Pelodiscus sinensis: one gene and its partners. The protein of the gene in region 2 purifies or fractionates together with the protein of the main gene of each other region. This does not show direct contact. Links are inferred from orthologs where the notes say so. Each region holds a gene or a part of one and is shown on either strand. Other genes may lie near its edges.

Region 1 (7,568 bases), on a different chromosome or scaffold from region 2:
CACTGACCAATCTCCACCGGTCAGCCCCGCTCCCCCGACGACCCTCCCCCACCAGTCCTGCTGCCCCCGTCCAGCCCTGCTTCTGGCACCTGATTCTCCCATCCTCCTCCTCCTGATCTCCCCCGGGCAGCTCTCCCTCCTCCCATGCAGTCCTGGTTCCGCCGCCTGCCCTCTCCGATAGCCGCCGGCGGACAGCCCCGCTACCCCCAACCCTGCTTCTGCCTCCCACCTGCCCGCCGCCCCCCCAATCTCTGCGGGACAGCCCCACTCCCCCAACCCTGCTTCCGCCCACCGCCCGCCCACATACCCAGATCTCCACGGGACAGCCCCGCGCCCCCAACCCTGCTTCTGCCTCCCACCTGCCCGCCGCCCCCCCACATCCACAGAAATTCATCTTGTGAATTTCTAGGGACTCTGCATATGGCCAGGAATGAGCAATGAACTTGATTTTGAAATGCAAATAAATGCTTCTCTTGCATTTGGATCACCCAATCACTGTGCAACAGGCATCTCTTCTGAACTCCTTCAAGCCTTTTATTTAAAAGAAAAAAAAAGATCGATGCTTCTGCACAATAGCCTTTACCTGATAATTCAAGCACAACCTCGGCTCCATTCCACCCTACTTATTTCTGTTCCACTGCTCACAGTCCATCTCACAGTCCATCTCCATAGCATTTTACAAGAGCTCACAGTATAGAATTTTCTTCTATGCACAGAGTTTAAAGTAACTGAAATCTCTCTAGGGGAGGTTTTGGATCTCTCGGTGATCTCTACAGGCCAGTGCATATCTGTGGCATTGGTGTAGTGCAGCGTGCTGCTTACAATTCCATCGTCCAGGAATGGAATACCTGTAACCATATATGCCCTACCCAGAGCCCTCCTTGCCCTGGACATGGATTAGAATGCTCATTGCTCTCCTTACCCCAAATAAACTCGTTTGTCATGACGAAACTTCCTGTTAGTCATGTCACCATGGTCCCGGATAATCTTCCTCACATGTTCTGGGGGCATGTCCTCCTTCTGGGCATCCACAAAACCAAACTTCCTCTTCTCAGCATACCGCTTTGCCTGCAGCTGCTGCCATTTGCGGGCTACACAAACAAGAACACACACAGTCCAGTCCAACCAGAGCACCATCATAAAAGAGACTCCAAATCAACATGAGCCCAAAATTACATGGATAGTGAATGTACAGAGCTCTACTAGTAATGCAAAAAGTATTTTGAACAGGGTACAAATCTTTATGCATCAGAGTTTATACCATCTCTAACCCCACCAGGGAGCAGGAAAAGGCACTCTCACACCTGCCTACAGTTGGCCTCTTGCACCGTGCTCTGAGTTATGTAGTGCTGGAGACAGGACACTGGCCCAGAAGGACCCCTGCTGTTATCCAGTCAGGCAGTTCTCTATTCCTGTGCAACCACCACCTTTGCATTCACATTCTCCTCCGATTCTCCCAATGATGCCTGGCGTATCGCACTGGCAAGAGCAAAGAGTTGCAAGAATCATAGACTAACAGCTGTGATTATAATTGCTATGTTGTTTACTCTGAACAGAGTTTTACTGCTAAAATACATGCAACTGACAGCAGTCTGCTTAGGGCAGTCTCACAGGTTGCAACAGAATAGTGAGAAAAACCCAGCAAAACAAAGTAGGGCAAATGCTCATGCACCATAAATCAAATGAACTGAACAGCTTAGTGAGCAGAATACGATGTCTGACATAACACAACCAAAGGACACAGAATTCACTGTGGGGCACAGAGCCTGCCTGGCCTTTGCCTAGCTGTTGCATGGACCTGGGACCTCTCTGTCACCGCTTCCAGGAGTGCATAACCCACAAACCCTGTCTGGGACACATTTCAATAAGCTCTTGCACCTTTCTCCTGCAGCTTCTCTTCAGACATGTAGTCGGGCAGTGGAGCCAAGGGACTGGGCACTGGGGCACAGCCCCCGCGGTAGGGAAACACTCCAGCCATGGAGAGGCAGGCTAAGAACCAAGGGGAGGAAGGAAGAGCAGGCTCAGGTTAGTCAATGCCCGCCACAGAGCGGAAACACACCCAACGTCACAGCCCTCTTCTCCCGCCCCCCGCCGCCACCAGCGACCCCCACACACCCCGCCCCCTCCTCCCGACCCCCCCGCACACCCCGCTCCCTACACCCCGACCCCCCCGCCCCTCCTCCCGACCCCCCCGCACACCCCGCTCCCTACACCCCGCCCCCCGCCCCCTCCTCCCGACCCCCCCGCACACCCCGCCCCCTCCTCCCGACCCCCCCGCACACCCCGCTCCCTACACCCCGCCCCCCCGCACACCCCGCTCCCTACACCCCGACCCCCCCGCCCCTCCTCCCGACCCCCCCGCACACCCCGCTCCCTACACCCCGACCCCCCCGCCCCTCCTCCCGACCCCCCCGCACACCCCGCTCTCTACACCCCGACCCCCCCGCACACCCCGCTCCCTACACCCTGACCCCCCCGCCCCCTCCTCCCGACCCCCTCGCACACCCCGCTCCCTACACCCTGACCCCCCCGCCCCCTCCTCCCGACCCCCTCGCACACCCCGCTCCCTACACCCCGACCCCCCGCCCCTCCTCCCGACCCCCCCGCACACCCCGCTCTCTACACCCCGACCCCCCCCGCACACCCCGCTCCCTACACCCTGACCCCCCCGCCCCCTCCTCCCGACCCCCCCGCACACCCCGCTCCCTACACCCTGACCCCCCCGCCCCCTCCTCCCGCCCCCCCCGCACGCCCCGCCCCCTCCTTCCGACCCCCCCGCACACCCCGCTCCCTACACCCCGACCCCCCCGCACACCCCGCTCCCCACACCCCGCCCCCTCCCCCCGCACCTGTCTCCGCTCAGGCCCCTCGTGCCTCGCCCCGCGGCCTCCCGCTTCCCACCCGCAATGGCGGCCCCCGAGCGTCGCTGCAGCGCTCCAAGGACCCGGATGGGCTGAGGGGGCGGGGCCAGTGGGCGCTCTGACCATTCAGCTCTCGGGCTGGTGACAGGTGGGCTCTCCAGCCTATGAGCATCCGCGACCGGCTAGGAGGCGGGTCCGGCCAGCGGAAAGGGCGGGGCTTGCTAGGTCAGGCGCGCGGGTTTTCTTCCGGTCGGAGACCCTCCCACAGCTCGTGTGGAGCCACGCCCCCTGCAGGCCACGCCCCCATGCGTGGCTGGCCGCTGTTGCCCCTGGACCCTAACGATGGCGCCAGTGGGCTGCGGGCCCTGCCCTGGGCTGGTGGAGGCTCCCAGCAGGCACCAGAGCCGGGCCGCTGCCGCCATCCCTGGGCAGGGGCGGGCGCAGCCGGAGCCGCTCAGCCCAGGCGCCATCTGCCCGCCCCCGGCAGCCGCCCAACGGCCCATTTACTGCACCAGCTGCTGCCTGGCCGGCCGGGCCCCACCGCAGCCCCCGTGCCCGTCGGGCCTGGCCTCCCGCGGCTGCGCTCTGCTTTGTCCTCGCCTGCCGCCCTTCGCACGTGGCACTGACCTGCTGCTCTGAGCGGGACGGCCGGGCCGCACCCGAGAGCCAAGGCCTGGGCATGCCAGGGCCAGCGGCGCATTCAGAAGCTCTGCGGGGTCGGGTCGGGTGGGCGGTGCCTTTCTTAAGGGTTCATCGCACATGCACAGGTTCACCCGACTCCTGCACCCCGTAGGGGCACGGACAGACTCCGCCAGCCAGTAGAACAGGGGGAGTTTATCGCTTCTCCAAGGATGCAGCACAGCACAGATGGAATCAGGTTACAGGGCAGGCCTAGGATGCCTCAGCCCCCTTGAGATGGGGGTGACTGGGCCCCTAATTCCCAGGCCCTTGCTTAGGCTGCTTCCTCCATCATGCCAGACAGAAACTGACCCTCTTCCAGCCTTGCCCCCCAGACAGGGGTAGGTCTCCGCCTTCCTCCCTTTGTCTCTCTCCCTGGGAGGGGACCTGTCGGACAGGTTGGGAGACCCTTGCCTAGTGACTCATCCGCTGTCCTGTTGGGCCGTGCTACAAATAGCCGCCAGTGGAGGTCACCCACTGCCCAAGCCCAGCAACCAGCAAGGCCCCCCCCCCCCCCGTACCACACTGGGTTGTAGAGCAGACAGCACCCCCACTACGTCACAATCACCTTCTCAGCTTTGACTGTCACTGGGCCTGAGCACCTGCTCTCAGAGAATTGGCCACCAGGATGCCAAGATCTTTTTTTTGAGTGGTAGCAGCAGCTAATTTAGACCCCATCATTTCCTATGTCAGGGTTACTCACCTTTGGAAGCCCTGTGGGCCATAATGATACTCATAGCACCATAGGCATGCGCACGGGGTGTACCAGCTGTGCCCAGGCACACCCTAATGTCTTGGGCCAGCTAGCAGCTGCTGAAGGAGGAGGGGGACTTGAGCTGGGGAGCCGCAGCCCCTAACTTTCCCTGCGGCCATCTATGGGGCACTTTAGGGCAGAGAGAGCATGTGCGCAGAGGACTACAGACCACCCCTGTCCTTCCAGCCCCGTCCTCGGCCAGCCCGGCAGCACTGTGCAGCACCCCTCCTGCGCCCCGGGTCCCAGACACGGCCCCACCCAGCCAGGCAGCACTGCATGGCGCCCCTTAAAGTGAGGCACCCAGGGCTAGGGCCTGGCTGGCCTGTAGCTGGGGCCGGCTCTGACTCCAGCCCCACAAACTGGAAGACAGAAGCCAGCTTAGCCAAAGGTAAGGTAAGATAAGGGAGAGGAGGGGAAGGGGGAAAATTAGGGGGCAGAGGTGAGAGAGGAAGGGGCTTGTGCTGAGAGGAGGGGGGCAGGTCAAGAGAAGAAAGGGGAAGGCACCAAGGGACAGGGTAGAGGAGAGACAAATGCCAGGGGGCCAAGTGCAGACAATGAGGAAAAGGGCAGGAGGGGAGGTGTTAGTGGGAAAGGAGACAGGGTGATGCTGGGAGAGGAGAGGGTAAGGGCTTTGGGGGTTAGAGGGAGGAGGGGGAGGTGCTGGGAAAAGGCATGAAAGAAGGGGTGGGTATGAGGCAGGGATAGAGCAAGACGTGTGAGGGCACAGGGGCATGAGGAGAATGGGGGCAGAGGGTGGTGAGGGGTTGAGTATTAGGGGCAAAGGGGGCAGGGGCAGTAAGGGAAGGGGAGGCACCAGGAGGGTGCAGGGCTAAGGGAAGGTGCAGGTGCCAGGGGATTCTGGGGTGAAGCAGAAGGGCAGACACCTGCAGGGGAGGGACCAGCACCAGAGGAGAGAGGCAGGGCAGGTGTAGAGGGAGGTGTTAGGAGAGGTGATGAGGACGGGTAGCTCTAGGGTTACCAGGTGTCCGGTATTGTACCAGACAGTCCGGTATTTGCACGCTCTGTCCAGTAAAAAAAATGAGAAAATACCAGACACGTGCAACGTGCGGTATTTTCTGATTTTTCCGGCTGCGCACCGGACAGAAGCCTGGCGTGTGCGGGGGAGAGCGGCTGGGAGGCGGGGCCGCGATTGCCACCAGGAGCCCTCAGTCGGTTGAGTGTGAGGAGGAGGGGGAGCCTCCTCCTCACTCGTGAGTCGCCAGGAGCCTGCGCGGGACAGGCAGCAAGTGCCCAGGTCAGTCCTGCTCCCCGCCGACCAATTTGCTCACCCCCCCCTTCTCAGCTGGCTGTTTCTCCCTCACTTCCCCTCCTGATCTTCCCCGACCAGCCCCCCTGCACCCTCCCCAGCTCTGCTTCCCGCCGTCCCGTTCCTCTTCCTGATCTCCCCCAGCCAGGGCCGCTGCACTGCCCCCCCGCCAGCTCTGCTTCCTGCCCCCCTTTCTCCCAGCCACCCTCACGGCCCCTGATCCCCCCAGCTGTGCTTCCCGCCCCCCCTTACTTGCAGCCATCCCTGCCCCCTCCCAGCCGGTCCCCCCTCCCCTGATATTCTGCGTCCAGCCCCGTTCCACCCGGCCCCCCTCCCCACAACCAGCCCTGCTTCCTGTTGGCCCCCCCATCTCCTCCGGCCAGCCCTGTTGCCCCACCATTAGCTGTTTCCAGGCCCCCCCATCTCCTCCCCTCCCCGGCCAGCACCACTCCCTTCCTAGCCAGTCCTCCTCCCCCTCACCCCCCCCCCCCGAAGCATATCCGGATTTTTGGGTTTTTTTTAAATGAGTACCTGGTAACCCCTAGCAGTGATCCAGGTCCTTGGAGTCTATTTTTTTTTCCACTCAACAACTTTGGTGTCCCCCCTTTTTTTTCCTTCAACAAAATTTTTCCCCGTCTTTTTTTTTGGGGGGGGGGGTTCAGTATTTTTTTTTCAGCCATCTGGCAACCCTAGGTAGCTCACATGAGTAGAGTGGGGCTACTGGAGGAGTGGGCACAGGGGGGAGAGAAGGACTGGTGGAGGGGGGCAGGTTGCAGGAAGGCTGAGGGCAGTGAGAAGGGCAGGAGTCAGGACAGCAGAGGGAGCAGCAGGCACCAGGGGAGCTGATGGAGCAAGGGGAGCCACGGCAGCAGAGGGAAAAGGTAAAGGGTTATAAGATATTTATTAATAACTTGGGTGGCACATTGAAACAAGCCACATGAACTCAGTACTGGTGCACAACACAAAATTCATTCTGCTCATGGGAGGAAACTTTTAGAGGGACACTTCCCCCAGCCTCTCTGCTCCCGAATTAATGTCACACACATTGGGGTAATGCAATTGCAGGATAGTTGCATACAGGGGTGGATGAGAGTGCTGTGGGGCCCAGGGCAGTGCCGCGGGGCCCAGGGCAGTGCCGCAGGGCCCCGGGCAGCAAAATTTCACGGCCCCCCCCTTTGACACAGCGCATGCGCCGTGGTGCCAAGGTGCATGCGCGGGGCCTCGGGAAGTGCGGGGCTCAGGGCAGCCGCCCCGCTCGCCCTGCCCTAAATCCGCCGCTGGTTGCATAAGGGGAGCTTGGTGGGGGCCAAATTAATTCCTGTTGGTAGGAGGATGGTGGAAAAAGTCCTTGGGGGGGTCACATGACACCTTTTACTTCTGGTCATGTGTCACCTCCGGAGGTGTGGCCAATAGGGGTCAGGGGCGTGGCTAATGGGGATCAAAGTACATTTAAAAAAAATTCTCTGGGTGCACATCCCAATGAAATGTGCTGTGCATGCATATGCAGCTCACGTGTGGTTGCAGATATATGCAGACAGCTTCTTTCGCACTGACAGGCATGAACACAAAGATGAAGGCAACACTACACAACACGCAGGCCCCATTTCAGTCAGTTCTGCTGATATTAATAAAATGCAACATTCCCCCATTTCCGCCCTTACAACAGCACTTGGAATGAGCAATGACAGTCTAGGAATGTAACTACTAAAACGCATCTCAACAGAAGACCGTTATATTGACGACTTTTTTGTTTTGGCTCCCACCTGCGGGCTGTGAGAGCCCCACGTAAACCCAGACTGCACCACGGGCCGCAAACAAACAGGCCACATGCGGTTCACAGGCTGCATGAGTAGCCCTGGCCTATGTAAGGGAAGTCAGGGCCCATAGAGACACTTAGACACCCCCCAACTGCAGCTACCCCCTTCTCATTGGTTTGCACTGATGAGCTCATTGTGGGAACAAACCAGAGAGGAAACCCAGCCCTGAGGCTCATCCCCATGCACAGGAA
Region 2 (7,749 bases):
GCCGCTTTTTTCCGGCTTTTAAAAAAGCCGGAAAAGAGCGTCTACACTGGCCCCGATCCTCCGGAAAAAGTGCCCTTTTCCGGAGGGTCTTATTCCTACTTCAAAGTAGGAATAAGACCCTCCGGAAAAGGGCACTTTTTCCGGAGGATCGGGGCCAGTGTAGACGCTCTTTTCCGGCTTTTTTAAAAGCCGGAAAAAAGCGGCGGACATTTTTATTTAAATGCCGCGGGGGATATTTAAATCCCCCGCGGATTTCCCTACGACGACTGGTGAAATTTACATGCCCCTTCCGGAAAAGGGGCCAGTGTAGACGTAGCCCTGGTATTTGGCACAGCGTCTTCTTTGGGAAATAGGGGGGGTGAGGCATGTAAAGTCACATGCTGCCTTCACAGCTTTCTGCTAATGTTCACCCCAGAATGCAGCCAGCTGCAGTTCTTAGGCGCTGTGTGGGAAGCAAGGGACAGAAGCTATTTCCACCTCGGGATGGGGGAAGGGATAATCTGGCAGCGCTCATCTCTTCCCCTGCCACTGCTCCTATGTTTAGGAGCAACTTGTCCTTTCCTGCCCATAGTGTCAAAAGCAGCTAATACTTTCAGGCTTCTGTTTGCCACCAACATAACCCAGCTGCCTCCTGCCCCCTGCCTACAGTGCAGGCAGGAAGGGGTTAAGACCTAAGACTGCTTTGAGCGCTAGGGCTCAGGAACCTGGCAGCAGAGGCTTCAGCAAAACCAGCCAGAGAGGTGGCTTTGCAAAGGAGGGCACCTAGGGAATGAAGCAGGACCCAGAAGTGGGTGAGGGCTGGGCAGCATGTAAATAGAACCTTCTGGCACCTGCCTGCATTCATCAACTACTGCAGCCAATGCCAGCTAGATGGGGGATGCGGCTCTGCTGATTGAGAACCAGCATGCAGCAAGAGCTGCACTGACAGACAAGCTGGGAGAGCAAGCTACCCCCCGCCCTCCAGCTTTGCAAACCCACCTCTATTGTTGGCCATTGGACCCCTTCCCACTGCTTTTGCGTAAGTAGCTGGCAAGCAGGGATCCAGCCAGCCCATACAGCTGGACCCACCGTAACTGATGGGAAGGAGACACGAAATACAGAACAATTTGCCCATTTTTAAGAAAAGGTCAAGACAACTGTAGGAGGGCATAAATACAGGACAGACCTTTAAAAAATGGGACATCTGGTCACTCTTTTTACTGATGGGGAAACTGAGTCAAAGAGTGATTACATGGCCTACCACTGATAACATGGGAAAGCAAGTATATCTTAAATCTGGGTGGTTTCCAAATGGCTAAAACACTTTGGCTAATTTGTAATCATGTGAACTTGCAAGTTGCAGAAATATCTTATGCTCAAAAAGAACAGTTTCTTCATTAGAGGGATAGCAAATAATTTTTACACAGGTGGATACCTCAGCCACCAATGATGCCAGTGTCCATTGTGCTATTTTTTTAACACTATGAGGTTTATCATACCCTGATGAAATTTCAGGAACAATCTGGGATAGGCCAGCCTCAATCACCCACATTTTTAATTTGTCCAAGATGAAGCCCTACTCTTCCCCAAACTACTCATCATGACTCACTACTACCCAGAACCTTGGTTTCATGTTTCAGTGGAAAGACACCACCAGAGTTCTACCTATTGTCAGACACATATGTTGTTTGAATCATGTTTGAGAAAAGAACATCCTCTTCTTCACCAAAACTTTCTTCTGCACAAGTTGGGTCTTCCTTTACTTCTTCAGTAAACACGGTAACATGTGAAAGTGTAGTCTGAGGAGAGGAGACATGGTTGCGGCAGGGGCAGTTTACACAGTTTTAAATACACCACACTCATATTAATTATTTGGCAATTATATGGCAGCACCTAGGGACCACATTAGGAACAAGATACAAGTGTGCTAGGTATTGTACATGCAGAATAAGAGTCGCCCTGCTCTAAAGAGTTTACACTGTAAATAAGCAAGACAAAGAATAATATCTAATCTTAGTAAACAATGAGATGTCAGCAATAAGGTTTTTCTTAATAGTGGGATGGAGTTATGTTGTTGAAAGCAGATTGGCTAAAAAAGGTAAAAAATTGACATTTAAGGAGGAGAAGAAATAATGGGAGCTGAGAATGAAGATGGAGTAAATGAGCAGGAATAGGGAAGCAGAAGCCAATAGACTGCCATTACAGAGGCAAGTACTGCAGTGTAAATGCTGTAAAAACCAGCAAGAAGTTGCTGACATCTACAGGTTGCTGCTGCAGCTGTTTTCCTTTGCTCTTCCTGGTTGAGTTTCTAGCTGGCTCCTGCCAGCACTTCCTTTTGTCGTAACTCACATGGTTGAGAAGTATGGGACTGCATAGGCTCTGGTGCACCAGACAGGAGGTCTCCCCTACACAGTGTTGGGTCTGGAGATGCTAGAAAAGGGAAGAAGAGCAACCTTAACTGGATTACAGTTCCTGTTTCTCTTAGTGGTACTACTGTACTTGCGTCAGCTGTTTGTTTTTCCTCTATTACTGCTGCGTAGTTGTGAAAAAATGTATAGGTGCAGCCTTCTTAGAGCTTAACCAGTGTAATACATATAGCTGTGTGTTGTGATGAAAGGACCAAGTTAGGAAAAGGTCCAAATGCTTAAAATGTAAAAATTCAAACACCTTAAATCTGGCTTCAGGTGAGCATGGATGTCACTATATCAACCAAACTTTACCATGTACCTGTATTGTAAAATTAGAGGCACAATAATACTTTGTTAAATCTATAATTACATTTAATGCAAGTTTAATTAATGCACATGAAAGAAAAATATTTCCTTTATTTTTCCAGTTTAATTGGTGTATTTGACAGCAGTTGGGTACAGATAGTCTGTTTCCTCTGTGTGGATCTTTCATACAGCAACGAGGGAGAAGAAAACATTTTTAAAGCAGTAAAAATGTGTAAAAGTCATTCTTGTCCCAAATTGACTTAAGATTGTGGTATGACCCCTGCTTTTTGTATTGGCTGTTGAATGAGCCACTGATAGTGAAGACTGCCGCAGGGTCTGGAAGAAGATCCATATTTTGAATTAATAGAGTATCATCTTCTCCCAGATGCCCTCTGAAACCTCTACAGAATGCTCCAGTTCAGATTTCTGATGTGGCTCTCTTCTATGGACATCTCAGAGGGGTCGTTGTGTTGGTCTGTAACTTTAAAAATGAGTAGTCCTGTGGCACCTTATCGATTAACAAAAATATATATAGTATCATGAGTTTTCGTAGGCAAAACTCACTCATCTGAAGAAGTGGGTTTTGTCAACTAAAGCTCGCAATACTATATATATATTTGTCAGTCTGTAAGGTGCCACAGGACTACTCATTGTCTCTATGGAAGTGCTTGTCTAAGGCTCCCTTTGTAAGGAAAAGGTGGCTTCCTTGACTACCAGCTCTGCAAACGCAATGTGGAATGGGAAACCAGCCTAGGGCAATCTCAGCAATGCACACATGCATCCCACTTCAACCCAAGGGACACTTTCTTTACAGACAGGCACTTCACTTCCACACACTGCCATACCAAAGCATAGTTCTGCCTCCACAGACAGCTCCCCACCCCAAAGCACTGCCTCACCTTCAGACAGCTCCTCACCACCCTATCCTGAGAGACGCCCACCTGCACAAACAGCTCCTAGCCCCAGGAGACACCCACCTCCACAGAGAGATGAACAGCTCCCTTCCCCCAGCCCAAGAGGTACCCACCATCACAGACAACTTCCCCCCCCCAAGAGCCACTGAACCGCAGACAGATCCGGAGATCTCACCTGCACAGGCTCCCCTCCTGAAGAGACACAATATACACAGATGATAGACAGACAGCTTTCCACCCACCCTCCCAAGAGATACCCCCCTTGCACAGACAGACAGACAGCTTCCACCCCCTCATCCTAAGGGACATCCCCCCCTTGCACAGATGGACAGAAAGCTTACCACTCCCTCATCCTAGGGGACCCCCCTGTTGCACAGATGGACAGCTTCCCACCCCCTCATCCGAAGGGCCCCCCGTCCGTTGCACAGACGGACAGACAGCTTCCCAGCCCCTCATCCTAGGGGACCCCCCCATTGCACAGATGGACAGCTTCCCACCCCCTCATCCTAAGAGACACCCCCTCGTTGCACAGAAGGACAGACAGCTTCCCACCCCCTCATCCTAAGAGACACCCCCTCGTTGCACAGACGGACAGACAGCTTCCCACCCTCATCCTAAGGGATCCGCCGCCCCTTGCACAGACGGACAGACAGCTTCCCACCCCCTCATCCTAAGGGACACCCCCCCTTGCACAGACGGACAGACAGCTTCCCACCCCCTCATCCTAAGGGACCCCCCCTTGCACAGACGGACTGCTCCCCCACCGCAGTCCCAAAAGACCACCCCTGCAAAGTCAGACAGAAGGACAACTCCCCAACCCTCCCCCCGTCCCAAGAAACACTCCCCTGGACAGCCTCACTTTGCTTTATAAACCCACACACTCCCCCTCCTGCGCCCACCGTCCCACGAGGCTCCCACGTGCGGGATCAGCCCCAGCCCCACTCCCTCCTACCCGCCTCCGCCGCGTCCCTTTTCCAGCCCCTAGTGTCGGCAGCTTGCACCAGCCGGCGGGGTTCTGTGCCCGCAGCACCTCCAGGCACCAGGTGGCGCTGTGACAATTCTCCCCCGGCCTGTGCCAGCTATTCCGTCTCCCCCTCCCTCGTCCTTCACAGGAGCTGCGCACGCGCAGCGTTTGTCATCCGCCCACTAGCGGGCGCCGCGTGCCCTCTCAACGCGCCTGCGTGCAGCTTCGAGCCACGAGCTAACGGCCCGTCGGCTCGGAGTTTTGACACATTCCCTCCGCCCTCGCCCCCACGGCGCCTGCGCAGGATCTCAACCGGCCGTAGCGCGAAGAGGGGTGTCTCTACCGCGCCTCCGCCGACTCTTTTCTTCTGGAGCCCGCTCGCCTCCGCCGCCAAGATGCCGCGGATTATGATCAAAGGGGGCGTGTGGCGAAACACCGAGGTAGGGGCCGCTTCCCGCCGCGGGCCTAGCCGCTGAGACGCCGCTCCGCAGCGAGAAGGGGCAGTGGCGCGCATGCGCTGAAATGGGGTGGATGGGGGTTGTGCGCATGCGCGGAGCGTGTTGTCGGCATAGTCTGAACTACTTTTATGCGCCTGGGGTTCTCTACCGCCCCTCCCCCCCTAGCTCAGCATTCGCGGGCCCCAGGGGGCGGGGCTCGGATCCTCATGGGCCCTGTGTGCGGGGAGCTGCCCCCTCTGCAGCGTGGGGCCCCTAGTGTGTGGCATGGGCAGGGGCTCTGATCCTCATGGGCCCTGTGTGCGGGGAGCTGCCCCCTCTGCAGCATGGGGCCCCTAGTGTGTGGCATGGGCAGGGGCTCTGATCCTCATGGGCCCTGTGTGCGGGGAGCTGCCCCCTCTGCAGCGTGGGGCCCCTAGTGTGTGGCATGGGCAGGGGCTCTGATCCTCATGGGCCCTGTGTGCGGGGAGCTGCTCCCTCTGCAGCGTGGGGCCCCTAGTGTGTGGCATGGGCAGGGGCTCTGATCCTCATGGGCCCTGTGTGCGGGGAGCTGCCCCCTCTGCAGCATGGGGCCCCTAGTGTGTGGCATGGGCAGGGGCTCTGATCCTCATGGGCCCTGTGTGCGGGGAGCTGCCCCCTCTGCAGCATGGGGCCCCTAGTGTGTGGCATGGGCAGGGGCTCTGATCCTCATGGGCCCTGTGTGCGGGGAGCTGCCCCCTCTGCAGCGTGGGGCCCCTAGTGTGTGGCATGGGCAGGGGCTCTGATCCTCATGGGCCCTGTGTGCGGGGAGCTGTCCCCTCTCTAGTCTGGGGCTCTCAGTATTTAGAGTATTTAGTATTCTGTGTGTGGAGAGCTGTTCTCACTGCAGTCTAGGGTCCCTAGTATGTAGCATGGGCAGAGAACCCAAATCCACATCAGCCTTTTGTGTGTTGGGAGCTGTCCCATATGTAGTCTGCCCTCCCTCCCCCATAGCATCAACAAGGAGCACAGATCTGTACAGGCCCTGTGTACAGGAGCTGGTTCTGCTGTAGGCTGAGGTTCACAGTGTGCAGCATAACCAGGGGTCTTAGATCCATATGAGTGCCTGTGTGCTGGTAGTGGTCCCTGTGTGCATGAATGGGCAGGGACCTGTTGGAACTGGTTCTTCTGCAGCCTGGTGTCTCCAGTGTGCAGCATAAGTAGGTGGCTCGTATCCCCACGGGTCGTGCGCGCTGGGAGTTGTTCTCGCTTGCAGGCTGCTGTTCACTGCAACGTGGACAGTTGGCCAGAGCCACATGGGTCCCTGTGTGCTGAAAAGTGTTCCTGTCTGCAGTCTGCTTTACCTGCTTCCTATGAGGGAGGGTGAGGCTAAGTATAGCTTGCACTCCTATGGTAAGAAGCATTTCTGACAAAGCAAATATTTGATCCTTTACATAACTAAAGTTTGATCATATCCTGACCTAACAAGCACAAACAATTCCCTCTATTAGGCAAGACTTGTATTCTCCTATCTTCTCAGACATCCAAAGATACTCTCTCCTCTTCATCTTTATCTTCTCAGGGGATGGTGACCTAAAGACCCATCACCTCTGAGGGCTGCTATCATCTGTGGTGACTGGTTCACAGTAAACATGTGTAGCTAAATGATGGTCATGGGAAAATTGCCAGTGATTATTTTTACATCATAGCAATGTTACTTGTGATGCTAACTTATAGCAAATGGTGTCTTATCATACTCCCCTCTCTCACTATATTATTATGCAGAGAAGACTTTTTAATTTTTTAGAAAGAGCTAAACATTCCCTTGACATATCTCAGTCCAAATTTCAGAGCTTCAAGTTAGTCACAATGCAGTCTGAAGTAGGGATGTTAAATGTCAGTTAGTTGAATAGTCGAGTAACTTATGAATTCTCATCGATTACTCGACTATTCTATAGTCCCCAGGGGCAGGGCCAGCAGCCAGTGTAATCCAGCCCCACTCCTGAGGATCACCCTGCCACTCCATGTTGCTGCCTCTGATACAGAGGCAGCAGTGCTCAGGGCCAGGCAGAAGCTGGTCTGCGAAGGGAGCCAGTTTAAAAACCACCTCCCCTCATGGACTGACTGCCTGTCACGCTATGATGCTGCTTCTTATACAGGAGTGGCAGCAGCTCCTGTCTTGGGTGAAGGGTAGGTCTGAGCTCCTGCCTGCTTACTTCCTAATACACTTTAAATGCAGAGCCACAGCGGGGATAGGTCCCAGACTCGGTGCAAGCCAGGACTGAGACAGGCTACTGGCCAGCCTCCTAAAAATTGTACTAGGTAGCAGTGGGAAATGCATGTAGTCTATAGCATTAACCTATAAACTTTTGCTTATTGCTTAATTGGTTAATTGACTACACTGTTACTGAAGATTTACGTACACTAGGTATGTAAGCCTTGTGCTATGTGTTCTGTGGTATAAGGCTTATACTGCAGAGCCCTCAGCACAGTCAGCAAGTCAACTCCCAGTGCCTGCTGGCTCCCAGCTGTTGGCCTTCTCCCGGGGAGCCGGCTGCTGCTCCAAGCTGTGGGCTCTGAAGTATCAGAGCCTGCAGCACAAGGCAGCAGCAGGCTCCCTAGGAGTGGGGCCAGCAGCTAAGAGCTGGGGCCATTGGGTGTGTAAACCACTCCCAGTGAGCACTGCCTCTTACTCCAGCTGCTAGCCCCATTCCCGGGGAGCCAGCTGTGCTGTGGGCTCTGCAGTATAAGGCTTATAAGCTTAT
Region 3 (6,943 bases), on a different chromosome or scaffold from region 2:
AGCAGTGGTGATGTACTAAGGAGCTGTCTATGGTAAATAAGCAAGTACAGGTGGATCACTTTAGACACATGGGCTATGTCTACATTGGCACGATCTTGCGCAAAAGCTCTTTAGGGCAAGCGTTCTCACGTTAAAGTAGTTGTGCAAGAGTGTCTGCGTTGGCCAGGGCTCATTGTCAGAGCGATGCACTTTTGTACAAGAGAGCGTCTACATTGGCTGGACGCTCTTGCGCAAAAGCATTAGCCCAGAACCACTTTGGAGAGGGCAAAAGGGCACCAGGCCTTTCCGGGGTGGAAGTGGGGGCTGGAGCTCCTTCGAGACATGCTTAAAGGGATCTCCCTGGACAGCCGTTTCTCTCCTGCTGCGTGCTTTAGTACCTCTAGCAGGGACTGTCAGCCATAGCAGTTCTAGTAGTGGTTGCCCTCTGCCTTCTTGGACACCACAGCTTGTGCCTTCATGCCATTTGGTGATTTTTTGCTGTCAGCTCTTTTGCTGTGCCATGGAGCCAGGGGTGGCCTTGTGCCTGCTCTGGCCCCTTCCAGCCATCTTGGAGAGCCTCAGCTGCTGCTCCATGCTGCTGCACTCCAGGACCTTGAGGTGCAGGTCGCTCTGGACTCCCTCACCATGGAGGCGGAGGCGTTCCTGTGGCATCCCCACCTCACCGTGGAGAGGCCATTGTAGAGACTGGACACCAGTACTGACTGGTGGGACCGGCTGGTCCTGGGGCAATAGGATGACCAGCAATGGCTCCGGAACTTTCGGATGAGAAAGCAGACATTCCTGGAGCTATGTGCCTGGCTCACCCCTGCGCTCCAGAGAAGCACCACCCAGCTGCAGGCACCCATCCCCGTGGACAAGAGGGTCGCCATTGCCATCTGGAAGCTGGCCACCCTGGACAGCTACCGATTGGTGGCACACCAGTTCGGGGTGGACAGATCAACCATCGGTGCTGTCGTCATGCAGGTAAGTCCTTGGGGGGGGGGGGGGACGACGAAGGTGCTGCATGCCATGCCATGGGGCAGGCAAGACTCCAGACTGGGGTGATGGGGAGAGTGGGGCGATGCCCTGTCACCCAGGGGTTTGGGCCATCCCTCCCTTGCACAAGCCTGCTGGTGGGGGGAGGGGCGAAGGGGTGGCCTGTGGGGGCCCTGGTGTGTGAGAGGACAGAGGGCATCACAAGGGGGGGTGGAAACCCCCCAAGGAAGCATGCACTCAACCTGCCTTATGTGATGTGTTCCCTTGTGTTTCTGTGCACCCTTCTACATGACGTCCTGCTTCAGCGAGTCATTCGCCTGCGGGATGTAACGGTGGCCGGCTTTGCTGCCCTAGGGTTCCCCAACTGCGGGGGAGCCCTGGATGCAACCCACATCCCCCTCTGTGCCCCGGAGTATTGAGCGGCCCATTTCATCAACCGCAAGGGGCACTTCTCCATCGTGCTCCAGGCCCTCATGGACCACCATGGCTGCCTCATGGACATTTATGCGGGCTGGTCCGGCAGGGCACACGACGCCCGCATTCTACGACACTCCAGCCTGTTTTGCAGGCTGGAGGCAGGCACTTTCTTCCCGCAGCAGGAATTTACACTGTGCCAACCCCCTGCTGCCCTGGTTGATGTGGCCCTACATGGGGCAGACAGACCACAACCGGGCACAATTCAATGACCGCCTCAACCAGGTCGACTGTGCCTTTGGCCGTCTGAAGGCCCGGTTTTGTTGTTTGCTCACCAGTCTTGAGATGGTAGAGTGGAACATACCCGAAGTAGTGGCCGCGTGCTGTGTGCTCCACAACATAGTGGAGCATAGGGGGGAGGCCTTCCTCCCGGCATGGATGGCAGATGAGGGCCAGGCCTTTGAACAGCCATGCACAGGTGCCATCTGCCAGGCTCACCATGATGGGGTGCACATCCAGGAGGCCCGACGGAGATGTTCTCCCAGGCCCCACAATAGGGTCGCCTCTGTCTCCCTTTACATCTCCATCCCATCCCCAACCCTTACTTCCCCCCTTCCCCTTACCTCCCAATAAACAACACAGTTTTTTGTGGAAAACAACACATTGAACTTTTTATTTACAATGGGGACGTAGGGTGGGAGAAAGGAGGGGGCTCTGAACTGGGAGGGAGAGGAGGGAGCTACTGCTGGGAGGGGTGGCCCCTGCAACTGCCTCTGCGGTGGCAGACAACTGCATAGTGTTCAGGCCGCATCGGGGCAGGCAGCTCAGTCACCAGGCTGCATGTGGTTGCACGTGCTGCATACTGGTACACAGTGTGCAGCTCACGCTGCCTGAGTGACCCCCCCCCCCGCCCTTGTGAGTGCAAAGTGCAACACTTACCAGTGGATCCTTCCCTGGCCTCTGATGACATGCTGGAGACGTCCAGGCTGCCTGATAGCATTTCGAGCTGCAGGGCGATGGTGCTCCCCTGGTCATCCTCGTCCTCCTCCGACCCAGCGGGCAGTTCTGCCTCGTCCCCTGCCTTGCTGTGCCTGGTGACGGGGGCACCTGCTGGTGTCCACGGGCACCAAGGGTCCCTGGGGTGCCACCTCGCCCAGGATGGCAATGAGACGCTTGTAATAGGGTCAGCTCCTGCCCCTTGGTCCTCGCTGGCCTGGTGATAGCCCAGACACAGCTCCTTTACTTTGGCCCGGACCTGTTCGAAAGTCTGGGCTGGGTGGCCCTGGTGGGAGAGCACCTGGGCCATGCGGCGGAATATGTCTGCATTCCTCCAATGGGCACAGGGGTCATGGAGGGCCAGAGGTCCAACAGGCCCTTGATCTCCACAGAGGACCAGGATGGGGTGCCCCTCTTTGTGCCCCTTGGGGCCTCCTGAGCTGGGGGTGTGGGTTGCTGGTGCCTCCCTGGAGTGGCCATCCTGGGTGGTGCTGGTGGCTGAAGGAGCAGAGCCGCGTAGGAGAGCTCGGTGGCAGAGGTGTGTCTGCCACGTGGCCTCTGCAGGCTGCATGTGCCTTTAAGGGGGCTCAGGTTACCAGGAAGTCCAGAGTGGTGACTGCACGTACAGAGCGTCCAAGCAGCCACCAGAGCTTTTTTCTGTTTGGCTGGCTCTTGCGCAAAATCTCTTGGCTGCCTGTCTACACTGGCCTCTTGCGCAAGAACAGTTGCACAAAAGGGCTTATTCCTGAGCGGGAGCGTCAGAGTTCTGGCGCAAGAAGCCTTGGTTTTATACGTCAGAACGTCAGTTTACTTGTTCAAGAACGCGCGGCCAGTGTAGACAGGCAGCAAGTTTTTGCGCAAGAGCGGCCGCTTTTGCGCGGGAGATGGCGCCAGTGCAGACACAGCCAAGGTCTTTGAGGTTTACTGGGCTGCCTATTGCAGCTTTGGAACTGACTTCAGGGGAACAATAGTGGCATGGTTCAGTGGGGTCCCCTCATTTACTACTTGATTGCACTGGTAAGTCCATTTGTGCAGCAGAATTTAGCAATTCAAGTTTTTGTTTCAAACTGAAGCTGGGGTGCCCTGTGGTTTATGAAACATGGGTGGAGATTCCGACTGCGAGGGTGGACCAGCTGGGCGTTCATTGTGCCAGACAGGGGACAAAATGTTAGGCCCAACCAGCTGCTTTCCAGGGCTTTTCACTCCCTTCTGTTTCCACGAGAAGCCGGGTGATCACTTCTGAGAAAATGTCCCGCGCAGGCTCCGGACACGGGGCTTGACAGCAGGTTTAAAACAACGGCTCCGTAGGGGCCCAGCGGCTCCGCCGGAAGCGCCTCCTCCACGCTGGCTGGGCCCAGGCTGCTCATTACCCGGTTTCTAGTCCAGAAAATTGCCCCCCCCCCATGTGCGACGCGGCCCCCTCGGCGAGACGGGCGGGCCCCGCGGGGGGTCGGACAGGCCGGGCCGGGCGTGTGTCGGCGCCGCGGGCCCGGGCCTGGGGCGCGGTCCGTGCCTCAGTTTCCCGGGGAGGCGGGAGGGAGCGGGGCTGGCTCAGGGCCAGGCCTCGAGCTCGGGCATCTCCTTGGTAACGAGCGCCACCTGCGGGCCGGAGCGCGGGTGGGGTGACCCGGAAGTGAACCCGCGAGCACTTCCGCGGCCAGACCGGCGCGATGGCGGCCGACACGCAGGTGGGTGCGCGGGGGGCGGGGGCTGGGCCCCGCCGCGCGGTGGAGGCGGCCCCGGGAGAGCGGCTCCTGCCGCCCGTCCGCCGCGCGCGGTTCCCGCTCACTGGGCCGGGCCGGCTCCCGGGGAGGGGACGTGGCAGTTGTGTCAGCGCCCCCGAGCCGCCCGGGGCTTTTCTCCAGCCCCAGGCCGCCCGCGCCGGGCCCTCGCCTGCCCCAAGGCAGCCTCGTGTCATGGGGGGGCGGCCCCGCGGCCGGAGCCCGGCCTGCCCGAGCCTCACAGCCGGGCCTCTCCGCGCTGGGCCAGGCGCAGGGGACGCAGTTCGGGGCCGGCCCAGCGTGTGACACCCGTGCGAGAAAGGGGCCCGATGAAATCGACGGGTTTTGTTCAGTATTCGGGCCACAAAATGGCAAATGAAGTTTAATGTTGGTGAATGTAAAAGTAACGCGCATTGGAAGAAATAACCCCAACTATTTGTACAATAGGGTGGGGACTGATTGAGCTACAAATACTGGAGGGAGCGATCTTGGTGTCATTGTGGATAGTTTCTCTGAAAACATCCACTCAGTGTGCAGCGACAGTCAAAACAAACAAACAAAAAAAAGCAAACAGGATGTTAGGAATCCTTTAAAAAAGAGAGAGAATAAAACTGGGAATATTTGATTGGCTCTATATAAAACCGTGGAATGCCCACATCTTGCCTATTGTGTACAAATGTGATTGCCTCATCTCAAAAAAGTTATATTGCCATTGGAAAAGGTTCAGAAAGGGGCAACAAAAATGATGAGGGTGTTTTGAACCGGTCCCATATTTAGGGAGTTTAAAAAGACTTGGACTTTTCAGTTTAGAAAAGAGGAGACTAAGTGGGGATGTGATAGACTCTATAAAATCATGACTGGTGTGGAAAAAGTGAATAAGGAAAAGTTATTTCCTTATTCCTACAATATAAGAACTAGGGGTCACCAATTGAAGTTAATAGGCAGCAGGTTTTAAACAAACAAAAGGAAGATTTCCTTCATTCAGTGCACAGTCAACCCGTGGACCTGCCAGAGGATGTGAAGACTGGGAAGTTAGCAGGGTTCAAAAAAGAGCTAGATAGATTCATGGAGGTTAGATCCATCAATGCCTATTAGCCAGGATGGGTAGAAATGATGTCCCTAAGCCTCTGTTTGTCTGGAAATAGATAACAGGAGAGGGATCATATGTGATTACGTGTTGTATTTCCTCCCTCTGGGGAATCTGGTGTTGGCCACCGTCAGCAGATAGGTGGACCTTTGGTCTGACCTAGTATGGCCGTTCTTATGTTATGTAAACTGTTACGTAAACTGAACTGGTTCTTCTAAGTAGTCTTGGCCATCATCCCAGCCACTTGAGAGCTTACATACATTTTATGATTTTAGTATCATTATTGTATATTTTAAACAATTTTTTGTTGTTGCCATATAAAGCTTTCACACAAATTGTAGACAAAATTCACTGCTTCTGTAAGGGAATCAGTGAGACTGGCTATATGGAAGACCCATTAAACATAATGTGAAAAAATATCGCTATATATTTTTCTTTAGTCCTTCTGTTACTCTAATCTTAATTGCTCATTGGCAGGGTTCACCAAGTGGCGGCGAGCCCCACTCGCCAGCCGTGCGGTTCTGCGCATGCGCAGATCGCTGTGCGCCGGCTCTTCTGGGTTGTAATCTACTTGCCATGGGTGAGTGGGTAGAGCTAGTGTGCTGGCTCCTCATAAGTGCTGGCTCCTGTGGAGCCACCTACCTCTGTGCTGTTATCTCTGATATAGAGGTAGCAGCATGGGGTGGAGGAGTTGGCTTGTTGAGAAGCCAGCTTTCAAGCTCACTTACTGGCTCCCTCTGAGCCATACTGTTCCCTTTCTCTGGGTTGCGGCCTCTGAATCAGAGGCATCAGCCTGGGGGAGGGCAGAAGGCAGGATCCTTAAGTCTACTCCCCATGCATTCTGGCTACTGGTGAGCTGACTGCCCTCCCACCTCTGACGCAGAGGCAGCATAGGTGTGTGTGTGAGAACAGGAGCCAGTGCTTGCGGGGAGCCGGTTTTAAAGTCAGATACCCATGAGCACTGCCTCCCCCCCCAGCATGTAATTTCAGCAGATACACATTTGCACAAACAAATTTTAACATACCTAACTAGAACAGCCTAGAACAAATTTTTTTATACATGTTTTACAAAACTTATTAAAGTTTTAATTCTTTTAAAAATTAAGGAATTGTTAATACTGAGAATGGAATTTAAACATCCTTCTTCAGCTAGGTTAGATGTAAAGAGCATAAAAGGTGAAACAAAAAATTAACAATCAAATCTCCACTTGTGTGATAACATAGGAAAGAGTTTTTATAAATAGGATGTGACTTTTTAAACCTGATAGATGTTTCAGTTAAAAAAGAAACTAACCTCCTCAAACTCCATGAACACGTGACTGGTTCCTGTTAAGGTACAAAGAGAAACCTTTCATTTGTTAGCCCTCTTATACAATTTCATAACAACCAGAGATGTGAAAGTTTAATCAGTGGGGGGCTAGAGCAGCTCCCTGCCCACCACAGGCCGAGGGCTGCTCCAGCCCAGTGGGGGCCCAGGCTAGAGCAGGCCCAGGCTGGAGCAGCCCCTGCCTGTTGTGGAGGACCTGCTCTAGCCTGGCTGTGGTGGGTTGGGGGAATGCTCCAGCACCGTTGTGCTGGAGTGGCCACCCACCCATCCCGTTTAATTGGTTAACCACTTAAACAGGATTTTACATCCCTAATAACTGAGGCTCTGAAATCATAAGTGAAATACTCAAGATATGGATTAAAGTATGTAGCATAGACCAATGTTTCTCAACCTTTTTTTGTAAAGTACCCTTTACAAAACAAT
Region 4 (7,501 bases), on a different chromosome or scaffold from region 2:
CATCATGTGACTGTTTCCATCACTGTTGGTTTAAAGCATCCCAAATCTATTAATGGTTAAAACCCACTCTCACACACATTTGTGGACCAAGATATTATCATTAATTGCAGCTCCCTGTACTGACAGAAAGGAGACCTTTAATTTTGGATAAATTATAGACCAAAGTCTGCTTTCTGTTATATCACTGTAAACCTGGAGTAACCCAGTAATCCCATGGCCTTCAAGCTAATAACATATGGACATAAGAGAAAGCAGAATATACCCCCAAATCACAAACTATGGTTCTTTGCCACTTGCTGCATCCACTTTATGACTCACTTGTTGACATTATTATTAATTGTATCTATTACTGTAGCATTTTGGAATCCCAATCCCATTATATTAGGCATGTACCATAAAAAAAGAGACATTCCTTTCCCCAAATAGCTTCAGAGTCTAGGCCTCAGATAGGATTCAACAGAGTGGATGATACAGACACACAGCTGGGTAGATGTGGAATTAAGAAGGAAAAGACACAACTAAACAAATGGATCTCCTCATAAAAAAAGCTGTCAGCTCACCACTTGCCAAACCTGTGCCAGATAGTAGTGATTTGTAGGCAACATGATAGAAGTAGGTTTAAGGATGGATTTTAAGGGGGGATTTCTCCCATACATAGGTAAAGCTCTGGGAAAAATATGGAGGTATCTGAAGAACGAGTGGCCCAGGCTGGCACAATTGGAAGCAGCAATTAAATGGTTAATAATCACACTTGAAAGTTCAAAGCTGGAAAAGTCATTGCAAGAAAAAACACGGTATAAATTAGCCTAAGAAATAACTCTATAGGTACAATACGCTTTATTTACATTAGGTTACATTTTGCTGTCAGTTACACATGTGTAGAGTTAGAAGGACTCCATTGGTTTTAATGGAAATTATGCAGTTACACCAGTGTACCTGAGAACAAATTATAGCTTGTTACATTGCAATCATATTTAGTGCAAATATTAGAGACAAAAATATAATACTTTATTTCTTTACAAATATGTGTATAGGGCAATAAATGTATAACATGTTTGTGCCACCTACTGGTAAAATAGGCCTGTCCATTTCTCTTGTTAAACTATTACCACTTGCAACTGATGAGAAAAACACAACAAAGCAAAATTCTGAGGCTACGTCTAGACTGCAGCGCTATTTCGGGGTACCAGAGGTATCTGGAAATAGCTATTTGCGTCTTTTGAGCACAATGTTATTTCCAAATATAATGGGCTTGCTATTCCGATGTCCCTGTAAACCTCATTCCACAAGGAGTAAGGGACATTTCAGAATAGTGATTTATTTTGAAATAAATGCTATGTAGATAGCTTATTTTGAAATTTTGCGCTATTTCAAAATTGACTCAAAATAAGCTACGTAATTTGTGTAGTTCAAATTGCGTAGCTTATTTCGAGCTATGGGTGCAGTGTAGATAAACCCTTAGGCTATGTCTACACTGGCGGGTTGTTGCGCCAGAAGTATGCAAATGAGGCTAAGCGTGGAATATCGCCGAGCCTCATTTGCATACCTAATGAGCCGCCATTTTTGCAGAAGAGGCTCTTGCGCTAGAAGGAGCTGTCTACACTGCCCCTTCTTGCGCAAGAAAAACCCTCTTGCGCAATGCCGTTATTCCTGAAAATAATCAGCGTAGCGGCATTGTGCAAGAGGGTTTTTCTTGTGCAAGAAGGGGCAGTATAGACAGCTCCTTCTAGCGCAAGAGCCGCTTCTGCAAAAATGGCGGCTCATTAGATATGCAAATGAGGCTTGGCGATATTCCATGCTTAGTCTCAATTGCATAACTCTGGTGCAAGATCACACCAGTGTAGACATAGCCTTAGTGACTTGCAAATTCACAAACCCAATAGGGGTATAATGGCAGAAGTTAGCTAATAGAATAGTTTAGTTTTGTATTAGTTATTTTAGGTTAAGATGTTTGTGAACTGTAACTTACGTTTGGACTCCTCCTTTTTTTGGTAAATTTTGAACAAATGAACTAATTTAGATTTGGGTCATCAAAGAAATCATAGCCTGAAAAAAAATTTGGATTTGAACATAGTAGGAGTGAATAGAAGCAATGTGTAATGAGGTGCACTCTTAAGGGATGTGGTAGTTTGTTTTCATATTGTTTTGGTTTTGTGATTCTATAGGATTGCTAATTGGAATGATTGTATTGGTTTAAATACGTTTTCAATAAAAATAAATATAGGAAAAGAATGTCTGGCTGAGAACATTTATTTGGAACACTACATGAAGCTCTGATCAGCTGCTTTGTAGCATGAAATCATAAGACGATTAGGGTTCGAAGAGACCTCAGGAATCATCTGGTCCAAGCCCCTGCTCAAAGTAGGTCTAACCCCAATTAAATCATTCCAGCCAGGGCTTTGTCAAAATTGGCCTTAAAAACCTCTAACGATGGGGAGAGATTCCACAAGTTTCCTAAGTAACCCATTCCAGTGCTTCACTTACCACCTACCCTCCTAATGAAATAGTTTTTCCTAATATGTGTAACCCTTCTGCCAGGTAGCACCAGCAGCAGCCAGGGCCTGGTTCAATATCTAGGGGTTCCTCTCCATCCATCCAACACAGAACTGGCTTGATCCCCCACCTAGTAACCTGGGAAATTCACACAACACCCCTGGGCGCCTATAGAAGGCAATGCTTCCCCACTCACAAGCACATAGTCTGGGTGTAGTAAAGAAACCTTTAATATAAGAGGCAGGAAGTAACGTGGCATTAATTTAGGAAAACACCACAGAGTACATAAGAAGACACCACAAACAGAGTTCATAACTGTAGTAAGTTCAGGGTCAGTAACATGGAGTCAGCAGGCCTGAATAAAGGCCTACAACATGAAAACAGCAACAGACCTAGAATCTAGTGACCAAGACTTTGGTTCAGTAACACAGGAGCTAAGAAAGAGGCCCTATTGATAATTGTGTGATTGTGTAAATTAGGTCAAGCATGGAAGGATATGGGGAGGCACAGGGGATAGATTGTAATCCAGAGGGGAGTAACAGAACATCTCAATAAGAAACGTCTTGGTACCAAAGACTCCACAAAAACTAATGTATATACCGACCTAGGTTCAGGACTGGGTTGAAGTTGACAGCATGAAAGATAGTAAGTAAGCTCCCCTTCTGCAAGGTGAGGGGTGGTAACTAGACAACAGAGGGTGGCAACCTGGTATGTAAAGAAGTGATGTAAGTTGTTTGTACATATTTATAAAAGGGCATCGCAAACAGTAAGCACCGACTGACCCTGGTGGGGGGGGGGTGCTTTATGCACTTTTGTAAGCAGGGGCGTTATCAACACTTACAGAATGCACAGTGGAGTAACGTGGGGACTTTCTGCTGACAACTGTTAATGCATAAAGCACCCCCCCCCACCAGGGTCAGTCGGTGCTTACTGTTTTTTGTAACTGGAATTAACCCCCCACCCTATCACCAACCCCTTTATGATGAACCCTTTTTATGGGCCCTAGCACGTAACTGCTGACTGCCTCCCCTTCAGGAGGCTTGCACTCAAGGGTGCCAAGGACATGCAGCTACTCTGAACCCTACTGTTGGAGGAGGAGGCTCTCGATCCGCCTGTGGAGCGCAGTTCTGTGCTCCACTATACGAGCAGGGTTACAGTCTGGCTAAAGATTTGCCAATTGTCAGAAAAATAACTTCCTAGGCTGGGGGGGCTTTTTGTAACGTGGCTCTGCAATGTTGCTTTATCCTGGCAGTCCACGGAGAGCTCCTGTGTGAACGGTTCAGCGTCCAGCTAGAGGGGCTGGTGCCCCCCTGAGGGGGGGGGGGGTCGCTAGGGGCGCAGGCCTTTCGCGTTTCAAAGGTTGCGAATCGATGAGGTGGGCTCAGGCTCGAGGGCAGCTCTGGGCTCCGTTCTCCGGGGCGGGGTCAGACGAGGCGGGGCGGGGCCGGCGGTTTCCGGGCCTCAGGCTATGCGGGGGGCGCGGGGGTCCTGCGGGCTACGCGGAGGGGCGGTTCTGGGCTGGGGTCCGCAGGGCTCGGGGCCAGCGCGCTCTGTGGGGGCGGGGGAGGGAGCCGCTAACATGGCGGCGCGAGGCTGCTTGGCGCCCCACGCCCCGCAGGCGGCGCTGCCTCTCACACGCGGGGATGCAAACCGTCGCCGACCCTTTCCCGGGCCGCAGCGATTCCCCCCGCCCCCTCAATGGACTGATCCACTCCCTGAGACGGGCGGTGAGACCACGGTCCGCCAATGACGGTAAAGCAGGAGGAGGGGGGGGGATCTGGACGCGCTCACTGACTGGGAAAGGGGAGCTGGATCCGCCCGTTCGCTGCGGCCACGGACAGTGCCTGTCCCCTCGGGGCAGTGAGCGGCTGGCACGCAGCGCCGCCCTCCGCGAAGCGAACAGGGGGGAGGGGCCATGTGCTAGTGCAGGGGCGGTCAGGACATGAGGTACGCGAGGTTGGTTCCCCCTCCGGGTGAGATGGTGTCTCCCAACATGTCTCCCGGCGGGAGGTGGAGCCCGCCCCGCCCCCGCCCTCCCCCCTTCTCCGCGTTGGTTCCGCTCGCAGCAGGATTTAGCCGCCGCCTGCCTGCCGCCGTCTCCGCTCGCGCCGCTTGCACTGAGGGGCCCGTGGACGTTTTCTCTTTGCCTTAAAGTCGGTGAGGCGCGGGCCGGGCGCGGGGCCCGCCGGGGGCAGCGGGCGGGGCGGGGCGGGTTAGTGCGGGGCCTGGTGGCCCCCCCGGCCCGCCGGGTAACAAAGCCGCGGCCTGTGACGGGGGGGGGGGCGGTGAGCGCGGCCCGGCGAGACGCGGCGCCCCCAGCCCCGCTTCCGCCGGCTCCAGAGCGTCTGCAGCGGCCGCCTCTGCGAGGGAGGCCCGGTGGGTGCCGAGCCCCGCGGCGAGAGGAGGGCGCGTGGGGCCCGGGGCTGCCCCGTTCCCGCTCGGGCGGGGCGCGGCGGGAGGCTGGGTCTCGGGAGTCGCCTCACGGCTGCTGTCCCGCCCGCGCTGGGTGCCTGCGTGCGGCCTGCTGCGGGGAACCGTCTCGTGTCCGCGGGGCTGGATCTCGATACCCCCCCCCCGCTTCTCCCTGTGCTCTGCCCGATCCCCTTGTCTGACACAGGGAAACTGAGGCACCAGGGAGCGCTTGGCTCAAGGTCACGTAGCAGCTAAAAGTTCACCTGCGCCCTAAAGTTATCCTGTGGTATCTTTTTTTTTTTTTTTTTAATGAGACTAATTTGTCTTTGCCTAACAGCTAATAAATACTCCCTGGCATGAGTGAAAATGTCCTATGATCTCAGGTGCTTTAACATTGTGGATGTTCTTAACCAACAGGCAGGCTGGCGAAGTAGCAGAGCGGGCTTTTCTGTGTGGACTGTTTCCACCGGCAGATGTGTATTCGCTACTGTACACGTGCTTATGAATTAAAGCATCGCGTAGGAATCATTTGCCTCTTAATGAGATTGTCAAGAATTTTTTCTTTTTTTGGTACAGGGTGTCTTTTTTATGAATAATCAAAAGCAGCAGAAGCCAACGCTATCAGGCCAGCGTTTTAAAACTAGAAAAAGAGGTAAATATTAACTATTTTTGTTTCTAGCTCATGGCCAACTCTGTAGAAAAGCTGTTTTCCCTTATTGACTGAGTAAGCAATGAAAATTCTGTTGACTAATCTATTAGTAAAGGAACCAACCTCATTTTAACTTCCTTAGGTCACCCAATCACTTCCCAACTCTGCTCTAGTTCCATGTTCTCATTGCAGCCCCCAGCTTCCGACATTGGCTGTGGCTCCAGGGAAAGCCAGGAGTGGAGCTTCACTTGTCCTTGCACCCCTGTCACTTCCCTTTCTTTTCTCCCCATCTCTTAAGCTGTGGCCTTGCTCCCAGTCCTTGGGGCAGAGAATGCAAAAGTGTGTCCCTCAAAAGTGTGGGGACCGCATCTCTAATCTTTTAAGAACATAGCTATCATATAAGCATGGGTAAATAAAAACCTAAAAGTTAACCATGAAGTAAATTTTTTACACCAGAAAAAATATACTCTGTTGCAAGCTAAATCCTTTAAAATGTGCCTTGCACCATAAAAACAGCTTAAATTCTGATTACTCTCTGTTGAGGAAAAATAATACTTTGAGGTCGTAGGTGCAGTTGTATATCAGGGACCTTATTTTGCTCTGTCAACTTCTTGAATGTGGGGAAGGTGCTTACTTTCTCCAGAAGGCTGGCTAGCTCATGCTTTTCAGTACTCTAGTGATTTCTCATTCTGTCCATAGTGACTATGAAAGCATCTGATTTTAGATCATGAATTCACCAGATTTGTCTCAAGTACAGGGAAATTAGGAATTAAATCAGTGATTGGGTGATCTTTGTCCCATCAGAGTTCTGTTTGGCCTCCAAGACATTTTGTTTTCTATTGGTCACACATGGGGTTCCTTGATTTTGTCTGCATAAGTGACGCGCAAAAAGCCAGTGCTGATTGCATGCATGCCTTGCTGTCAGAGCTATGTGCTCCCTCTGTATCCAATCATAGTGCCATATGGTTCAATCAGTACACCTTGCAAGTTCTAGGTACTCAGCTGTAGCTAGCAAAACTTCCCTATCCTGGGAGACTGTTTTGGTTAACAATCTTGCAAGACTGGAGGGCTGCTCATGCGGTCCACTCGCTAGTCTCAGTTGCCTGTCACTGACTTAAATTGTTTGCAGTAATAATGATAAAATTCATGATTGCATCAAAGTACAGACAATATTTTTTTTTTTTCTGGCTCAAATTTAGATGTGTTATTGGATGAAACACTGGTGAAGTGGAAAAATAGGGCTTTATTTTTGCATACACAATATTTCTAACTTCATTATCTTCCAAACATTGCTTCAATTTAAGTCTGTATTCTCACCTACCGGTGACTTTGCTACCTCCGTTCGTCTTGTAGATGGCTGTTCAATAAAAGATTGCCTCTTTTCCCAGGGGGTGTGTGTGTACTATTGAGACTAATAGCTGTGTATAGATATATGTACATAGCTGTGTTGGCACAGATGCAGGTTTTTCCATAGATGTAGGAATGCAGCCTCCTCAAAAGTTAGCTGTCAGTGGAAACATGCTTCATTCTCATAACTGCATCTATACGTATGCTTAGGATGGCATAGCTATGTCAGTGAGAGGTGTGAAATGACTCGAGCTGGAAAAGCAATTGAATGAAACATTTGGGAGGACTTGATGGATTTAAAGCCCCTACCACTTTTCTTTGTAGGAATCTCCCATCTAGTTGACAAAGAATAACTGACATGTTCAGGTCAAATAGCTAATGCCAGCCTCGTGTATTTATATTAAATGAATGGCAAACTTCCTGTCTGCATTCGCTATTTCTGACTTCCCTGGTCAACTCGTAGTTTTGAAACTGTTGCCAGTTTCCTTAATGAATGAATTCATGAAATTGGAAGATGCTGATACAGAACATTGACAGTATTATCTTAAAATTAGGCTTATCAAATGCTTTCTTCTATTGCAGATGAGAAAGAGAGGTTTG

Evidence for each region.
Region 1: the proteins of CDC5L (region 2) and PRPF8 fractionate together in Homo sapiens (co-fractionation; 5 studies listed by BioGRID and IntAct, with this or other methods). This does not show direct contact. The link is inferred for Pelodiscus sinensis from reciprocal best matches to the Homo sapiens genes CDC5L and PRPF8.
Region 3: the proteins of CDC5L (region 2) and GCN1 purify together in Homo sapiens (affinity purification with mass spectrometry; 3 studies listed by BioGRID and IntAct, with this or other methods). This does not show direct contact. The link is inferred for Pelodiscus sinensis from reciprocal best matches to the Homo sapiens genes CDC5L and GCN1.
Region 4: the proteins of CDC5L (region 2) and BZW1 purify together in Homo sapiens (affinity purification with mass spectrometry; 3 studies listed by BioGRID and IntAct, with this or other methods). This does not show direct contact. The link is inferred for Pelodiscus sinensis from reciprocal best matches to the Homo sapiens genes CDC5L and BZW1.

The regions. Positions count from the first base shown.
Region 1 is NC_134731.1:1,006,372-1,013,939, reverse strand, and holds the start of PRPF8 (pre-mRNA-processing-splicing factor 8), read right to left. Parts: upstream 3,003-7,568; 5' UTR 2,850-3,002; intron 1,990-2,849; 5' UTR 1,979-1,989; coding exon 1,879-1,978; intron 1,092-1,878; coding exon 923-1,091; intron 1-922. UniProt on the Homo sapiens protein: Plays a role in pre-mRNA splicing as core component of precatalytic, catalytic and postcatalytic spliceosomal complexes, both of the predominant U2-type spliceosome and the minor U12-type spliceosome.
Region 2 is NC_134713.1:10,745,668-10,753,416, forward strand, and holds the start of CDC5L (cell division cycle 5-like protein), read left to right. Parts: upstream 1-4,749; 5' UTR 4,750-4,966; coding exon 4,967-5,011; intron 5,012-7,749.
Region 3 is NC_134725.1:9,279,777-9,286,719, forward strand, and holds the start of GCN1 (stalled ribosome sensor GCN1), read left to right. Parts: upstream 1-3,930; 5' UTR 3,931-4,055; coding exon 4,056-4,073; intron 4,074-6,943. UniProt on the Homo sapiens protein: Ribosome collision sensor that plays a key role in the RNF14-RNF25 translation quality control pathway, a pathway that takes place when a ribosome has stalled during translation, and which promotes ubiquitination and degradation of translation factors on stalled ribosomes.
Region 4 is NC_134717.1:73,488,199-73,495,699, forward strand, and holds the start of BZW1 (eIF5-mimic protein 2), read left to right. Parts: upstream 1-4,497; 5' UTR 4,498-4,650; intron 4,651-4,736; exon of another isoform or gene 4,737-4,869; intron 4,870-5,481; 5' UTR 5,482-5,493; coding exon 5,494-5,557; intron 5,558-7,483; coding exon 7,484-7,501. UniProt on the Homo sapiens protein: Translation initiation regulator which represses repeat-associated non-AUG (RAN) initiated translation probably by acting as a competitive inhibitor of eukaryotic translation initiation factor 5 (EIF5) function.